2 linked regions of the Drosophila melanogaster genome follow. The protein of the gene in region 2 purifies or fractionates together with the protein of the main gene of each other region. This does not show direct contact. Each region holds a gene or a part of one and is shown on either strand. Other genes may lie near its edges. The genes, in order: mRpS30 and mRpL18.

The links.
Region 1: the proteins of mRpL18 (region 2) and mRpS30 purify together in Drosophila melanogaster (affinity purification with mass spectrometry, with the first as the bait; one large-scale study listed by BioGRID). This does not show direct contact.

Annotation. Positions count from the first base shown.
Region 1 is NC_004354.4:15,784,420-15,789,113, reverse strand, and holds mRpS30 (mitochondrial ribosomal protein S30), read right to left. Parts: upstream 3,068-4,694; 5' UTR 2,943-3,067; coding exon 2,485-2,942; intron 2,321-2,484; coding exon 1,105-2,320; 3' UTR 826-1,104; downstream 1-825. Other genes in the region: Paf-AHalpha (Platelet-activating factor acetylhydrolase alpha), read left to right, coding at 4,054-4,449, 4,518-4,694.
Region 2 is NT_033778.4:12,754,841-12,757,998, forward strand, and holds mRpL18 (mitochondrial ribosomal protein L18), read left to right. Parts: upstream 1-1,593; 5' UTR 1,594-1,713; coding exon 1,714-2,274; 3' UTR 2,275-2,333; downstream 2,334-3,158. Other genes in the region: Taz (tafazzin), read right to left, coding at 1,096-1,218; ox (oxen), read right to left, coding at 2,356-2,391, 2,458-2,589; Dgkepsilon (diacyl glycerol kinase epsilon), read left to right, coding at 2,905-3,063, 3,122-3,158.

The sequences.
Region 1 (4,694 bases), on a different chromosome or scaffold from region 2:
CCGTATCCACATACTCCACGATCAATATTCAAGATTTTTCAGCACTTGCCCAACGGAATTTCGACTCAATATCAGTTGGGTTCGACTTGTCTGCACTACACTTTCCACTATTACCAAAAAAAAAAGAAATATATATGCAACAGGTTACTGCTCTACCTTTTTGGACAACCGAAGCGCCAGATACGAGTTTCCGAACCACCGTAAAGTCTCAAACTGGTTATTTACTCGAGCCTAACTATTCAGATCCAGTGTGACCGTCGCACGGCCGTTATAACATACCATACGGTTAGCTGGGACGTTACCGAAATAACCAACAAGTGGTAACTTTTTCAGCAATCCTAACTTTGATGTAGTGGACTATAAAGCTATTATCGTAAATGTAAAACTACTATAATAAATGGGATAATAAAATAATCAAGTAATTAATTAATGCATACATATTACCAGACTAAGTAAGAGTTTGAAGTGTACTTATATGGAATATCATATAAACCTTAGTGCACTATTATGTTCAAACAATATATGATTTGGTAAAAAGATTTAAACTACACTATAGCATTATAAACCTTTTTTACGTTCGAAAAATATGGTTCTGGTGCAGTGTAACCGCATTTTACCCACTTTTTGAGATAACTTCGGTATGTTTGCAGTGCTGATAAATGAAATAAACAATGGAATCTAGAATAAATATGTGCTGCATAAACAATTAAATAATGATAAGAAGCATTGCATTGGCAAGTTTTAGCATCATCAGCACTAATAATTGGCAAAATTCCAGGTATTTGTATAATCATATCTATTTGAAAGAATTTAAGATAAAAAAGACTAGCTTATAAATTTACAGAAGTGTTTAACCACAAGCATAACAAAGTTAATAAATATATATACTTTGTATGGCATAGAATTTAAATTGAAATTTAACAAAATATTTATATTAAAAATCATTAACATACTGACAAAAGTTTGCGGAAAATTGAGTTAATCAAAGTTTAAAGAAACTTTGTACACCGTTTCGTTGCTCCGAATCTGCAATCCAGTATTTCACATTAAAAATTCAGCATTTTTAACAAGTGTAACCTTAGGAAGTGTTTTATATTTATTCATTTAAGGGTAGTACGTCTTCTTGAACCTGTTCTTATTCTTAGGGACGTCTGGTCGGACCGCACGTGGAACATACTCCTTGTCATGTGTGTCCAGCGTTCGCTGCCAAGGATTGATGTCCAGCTCGAAGAAGCGTCTCTTAGCCTCCATGGCACGATTGTTGTTATCGATCTTGTATAGCTTCTCCCACAGGTAGATTTCGGGCAGCTCCAAGTGTCGCGGTCGGTTTGATGCCAAATATTTGAAGGTCTTATTGATAAAGTCACGCTGTTCGGCGTTCTCATAGGCGGAAACGTCGGAGGCAACATACGGCTGCTGCTCCCCAATGCTCCGCTGAATCGATGGCGCATTGGCATAGAAATTGAGCAGGTGCCGCAGTGCGTTATCGTTGAAATCAACGCACTTGCCGCTTGCCGAAATCTCGGCGTACAGTGGAAGTGGCTTTGTACCGCGACAGAAGTTGACACGGGGATTTTCCGCCACGTTTGTGCCGTGCAGCAGCAGCGTATTAAGCTGATACTCATAAAAGCTCCATTCCCTGCCGTTCGTGATCACAGTTTGAGTGTTCATGGGATAGGTCAGTTCGTTGTAGGTGTTGAAGCCATTGTAGTTCGCCTGGGCCAAAAGCCAGGCGTATGACGATTTAATCGCCAGCGAATGCAATGCCTCCAGCTGATCCTGCTCGCCGAACGATTTCGGACGGATCTGCAGGTGTGCACGCGATTGAAATGAGAGCAGGCCGAAGTTATTCTCATTTCCTTTGGGCCAATAGCCTGGCACATTGGTGGCGTGCTGATGCTTGGTGCTGTAGCCGAGGGTTCGCGGGTCGTGCTTGAAACGGGGCAGCTGTTTGCTCAGCTCGAGGTTTTCGCTTTCCGCTTCCGTTTTCCACGGCGTCAATTGCTTGCGATGGCGTAGGGCAAGATACGGCGCTCCCGTATACTGAACCATCCGATCAACGCTCTCGTTTGCCATATCCTTTTGCCATTCCCGGCCCTTCTTCGATTTCTGCACGTTCTTGGGAGGATCTACGCCGCCAACGGCCCAGAACGCTTCGTGGCGTGGATTGTAGTCGACATCGAGCTCATCCAGGTGCTTGTACTCCTCGCTGAGCGACTGCAGCAGAGCTCTGTTCAGCTGTTCTACAATGATCTGCGTTAGGATGCGCTCACGTTCAACGGGGTTCGATTCGGCAGAGTTGTGTTGCTTTTCCAGATGCCTACGCTTGGTAATGGAGGAGAATGAATACATTAATATCAGACGGTCGAACTTGTAACTGGGACCACTCCAACCAATCCGAGTTCTTAAGTGAGTTGGACCAACTACTGTCCACAAACTCGCCGGAGAACTTGGTTCGTTGAAAGCGGACCTCGTTGTACCCACTTGTAGTAGTCGTGGGCAAACTCGAGGGCATCAATAACATCCCCGCGAGCCGCCTTGAAAAGACCATCCACGCTCGGCTGCTCCTGCTCCTGCTCGGAGTCCTTAGCCTGTGCCTTCTTATCCGTTTCAGATGGCAAATCCTCGAGCACTGTGCGCGTATAATGTTGCGTGAGCGGCAGTGCATTGTAGGGGATTTTCGAGTCGTTGAAGTCGACCACCTTGAAGCCGTAATAGCGGGGCATATTGATCTTGATCATCTTCTCCTCCACCGTCGGCACCTGCCGGATTTCCTCGTGCCAGTTGGCCGCATCCTTCTGCTTGCGCGCCTTGAAGGACAGATCCTGAATCTCCGGATATGCCGGCTCTGCGTCCGTACTATTCAGCTGCAGCTGCGACTGGCCGGACAAACAGCGCTTGTACGTCGTTCGCAGATGGCGAACACGGTTAAGCTTCAACATGCCGTCGAACCTAACGCAAGTTACGATTTATGTTTTCGAAGGAATAGAATTGACTTCAGTTTTTTGACAATAACTAGGTTATGTCATTGCTGCAGTGTGACCGCACGCTGGATTCAGAATAGGTTGCGCCAAGGTAGCGACGGAAAGTTTTGCGATGCCAGTGAAAGTAATGGTATAATTTCTATTTATGCAGTTCAATAATAATTCATAATGAATCATAGTCCTTTACTATTTAACGTGTAGGGGTACAAAATTTAACTTGCTTATGTTTCAAATCTTTTTATTTCTGAAATCAGTTATAAATCATCGTAATATTTTTTAAGCTGTCTAGAAAAAGCTAAAAAATAGTCTTGTTTCATTTGGTATATTTTCCCCTTGAAATAATGGCATATGGCTTAAAGGCACATGCCTTAAAAATCACAATTGTAAACTTAAATCAACAGAGATCAAAATAATTAACAGACTTCTCTGCGATAACGCTTTTGACAATTTTGAATAAAATGCACGTTACAAACAGTAACATATGTGACCGTGTAACGTTTTCGATAACGTATCCCACATCTTTTTCAGCTGTGCCAAGTGCAACATTGCTAGACAACACTTTCCAGCCCTGGAAAAATACCAAGACATCTACCATCTCTCTAAAAACGAAAACATAAACGCTTACCAAGAAAATCGTAGATTTTCTACACCAAATTAAAATAAACTTATAAAAATTTTCAACCTTAAATCCTTGGCAATTTCCATGTACACGAGGGTGGCCACATAATTCTACGACATTTACGGATGTTAATGTTGAGGTAACCTAAAACACAAAAAAAAAAAAACAAAAAAAAAATCTTCGCCATAAAAACGATTTATTAAAGTAAACAACGGTACGGAGTTGTTTATGCTAGCGACTATCAGTTCAATTGTTTGTCCACGACTGCAACGCTGTCACTGCAAGCCGAGCAGAACGCCCAAGTATCCGGTAAGACTAAGCCGCAGACGATGCCTCATTCATCCGCATGCTGAAACTGCAACTGAATCGAAATCGAAATAGGAATAGGAATCGGAATCTTTAACTAAAACTCAATATTGGTCTGCAACTGAGTCTGAGCACGCCGACGAAATGAATCCCTGTGTGCTGCCCACCCCATTGCCCGATCTGGATGGCGACAAGCGTTGGCACAGCATACATCGCCGGTTCATCTCCGATTGCCGCGAAAAGGATCCGGATGTGATATTCCTCGGCGACTGCATCTTCGAGACCGTCCAGGACACGGAGGCCTGGAATAAGTACTTTGCGCCGCTGCACTGCCTTAACTTCAGCATTCGCGACGACTGCACCGAGCACGTACTGTGGCGCATCGAAAACGGTGCGCTGGACAATGTGAATCCCAAAATCGTCGTCCTCCATGTGGGCACCAATAATGTGCGGAACAGCGCGGAGGAAGTGGCCGAGGGTGTGCTCGCGAACGTAACGAAAATCCGGCAAAAGCTGCCCAACGCCTATATCGTTTTGCCCGTAAGTACAATAGTTGTGGTATTAGCCAGCCGCAGTAAATCATCGACATTCCCATCTCTCCCTTGCAGTCGCTACTGCCGCGTGGCCAGCAGCCCAATAAGTTGCGCGAAAAGAATGCCAAAATCAACGAGGTGGTCAATGGATTGACCAAGGGCTTGTATCGCGTCCAGACGGTGGCCATTGACAAGGGTTTGGTCCAGACCGACGGCAGTATCAGTCATCACGATATGTTCGACTATAAAAAT
Region 2 (3,158 bases):
ATCTTATCGGGCCCAAGAATAGTTTCCTTTTGTGCTTGTGTCTAGCCAAACGCCTCTCAGTGTTACGCATTTTGATTTCTATTTGAATTATTCCTTTGTCAACTGTTCGACTAACCCAACAACCCCCGCAAAAGCCGCCTTTGTGCCACAGGTTAGCAGCATGCGCACTGAAAATCTGTTGCTGCGAGACACCGCACTGCATTTTCGCGCGAATAATAATGCAGGAAAAACTCACGTCGTCAGAGATCTATGGCGACCTTCACTCGGTTCGAGATGTATTACATTGGGCACCTGAGAATCTTTCGCATCCGGACGGCGGGAACTTTCGTGCGTAACTGATTTTCGTCTCCACTGAAATCGCCAAGTGCAACAAGCTCAAAAGCAAAAGCACGCACAAAACGAGGGCGTTTGCCCCCAAACAAAGAGAGACAAAGCGAAAAAGAGCGAAGGAAAGGGCCCCAAAGTAGAAGTAGTTAGGCAACAGTCAAGTGGTTGACTAGAGATTGTGAAACTATCTTTATCAGTTAGCAAAAGTGCTTAGCCGAGCGCTTCCGTGTATAATGATCACGCTGGTTTGGTTTGATATGATAAGCATTTAAATTTGTGCGCCCAGCGTGGTGGGTTTGGGATCTTGGTGCTTTGTGCAAGGTGGTGAGTTTGAACAGTGTTCTTATCAGTTGCTCAATCTGGATTATTTTTGTAGATAATAGATGCCTTTGTTTACCTTTGTTAGGTATATGCTAACGGACGTAGAAACTCATCAACAAATATTTAAAAATAAAGTACTCTTATATTCCAAGAGTTGAACAGCTTAAAATGATAATTCCACAATTAACTGTGTCTTTAGTGCATTTAAAATGAAGTGCTCATAAAAAGGCATTTTTCTTAAGTAGTAAAAGCACCTTTTAAATCGATTCCTATACATTTTTAGCAATGGCTAATTTAAATTTTCCCGCCACCATTGGTGGGATTGGAACTGGTGGTCAGTTCTGGAACGTGGTGAAAAAAGGAGAAAGCGATGGCCTGATTTTGTTTATATTTATTGCGTGTATTTAGGTGAAAAATTTCAGGGTTAATTGCTATAATTAAGCTTACCCGCGCCATTGCCCGGATCGGCGGTGTATATCCCTCGCTGATCAGCCAGTTTATATTTCGCGCTGCAGATGCGGCGCCCACGTGCCCGGGACGCCTTAAATTGGAACACACGACCATAAACATTTCTACAAGTTCTTAATTTAACGAGTACGATATGTGTGTAGATATTTGGCCTATACGGTCTTTACATAACCGGCTTTTGTGGGCCGAATAAAAATCACTTTGCAATTTGGGACGCGCGCACTGCTTGCTTCTTCACCCAACCGCCACTTCTTCACCTCAGCAGCAATCTCATGGGCGTACGGGCAGGAGGCGCCGTGTTCACTTGGCGCATGTCTGAAGGGGGCGTTATTGTGGTGGGGAGCGGCGAAAGTTCCAAGGCCAATAGAATCTACAGAAACTAGAAATTTGAGGATAAACCAATCTGAAACAGCTGTTTTTTGCCATTTACATCCAACTGATGTTTGGACATTTTACAGCACCAATAAATCGTTTACCCACACTCAGTTCTGGCAGTCTGGTAACACTAAAGGCAGCTCAAAATATTTTATCGTGGTTTTGTAATTTCCACATAAATATCAATTAAACGCGCGCTTTTTTCGGGTTTCCATCGCAAAAATGTCTCGCAGTGCTCGCCCCCTCACCTCCGCCCGTGTACTGCACAAAATCAAGGAATTAACAACCCCGCAAGCCAGCACTGAATACGTGATCAACCGGAATCCACGGAACTTGGAAAGATTACGCATTGCCTACAAGCCGGTAGGCTATCATCTGGAGAAACCAGGTCGTTCCTACTGGCACACTTTGGAAATCAACACCAGCGGCCGCTATGTCAGCGGCGATGTCAAGCACTTTGAGAATGGAACCATCCTGAGTGCCAGCACCTCGGAATGGGCCATTAAACAGCAGTTGTACAAGACCAACGACACATCTGCGTTTGTAAATCTCGGCAGAGTGCTCGCACAGCGCTGCCTGCAGTCTGGGATCACGGAAATGACCTGCAACGTGGAGGCGGTACCGGGTAGCAAGCTGCAGAAGCTGCTTCAAACCATTCAGGATAATGGGGTGTCCTTCAAGGAACCCTCTCGCCTGCCCAACGAGCAGCCCTGGGATGAGAAGAGGCATGAGAAGCCCTGGGAGGTGTCGGAAGACGCACTGGAAGCACCCAAATCAAAATAACCAAAAGAAACCACACTTAGTTATCGTTTCGTTTAGAATAAACGTTGATTATTATTGCTAATTACAACAAATCATGTTAATTTATTCGTATTTGCCCTTGATGTCCTTCCAGAGTTTCTGCAAAGCGGGGAAATCTTGAGATTTGGCCAGGAAACTTTGCTTACATAACAGGATTATACTTACGCCTTTGTTGATGCCCTCGAAAATCGCAACCGACGTGACATCGAGAGCGCGCTCGAAGAAAAAGGCCGACGCGATGATGGCCACGGCGTAGGTGGAGGTGCGCTTGAACAGGGTGTTGTAGATAACCTTCATGTTGGCTAGATTTTTGTTAAAGACGTCCGATTTGTTCCCAATCAAACTTTTTCCACACGCCAAACTCACAGCTGATTTGTTAGGTTGAGTTGACAAGCAGTGTTGGAAACGTCCTGAATCTAAATACTAGTGTCACTCCGCCTATCGAAATTACGCATTAGTGCTTATTCTTGAAAAGTGTTTTTAATTGAGGTCGAAGGTGTTTTTTGTTGTCTTTGAAGCGGTCACACTGGTCGATGGGGCAAAAACAAACGATTTGTGAATATGCCAAATTACCAGGATATTTAGCGTAATTGGGCCTTATCTGCGTGGACCATGGACATAGGCACTATTGAGCTGAGCGTGGAGGCGCTGATAGGATCCCTGCTGGCCCTCAGTATCCTCTTTGCCTTCTGCCGCAGCCTGCTTTCCGAGGACTTTGTGAGCACCTTCAAAACACGTCACAGCTGGAAATCAATAAAAGTGTTGGAACAGGTGAGCGGATTCACTTGCCGCGAAAGAGATACCATAGGATACATGCCCTTCATTCTAGGCCTGCTTCTGCAATGTGTGCGAGATCCTGCTAACCC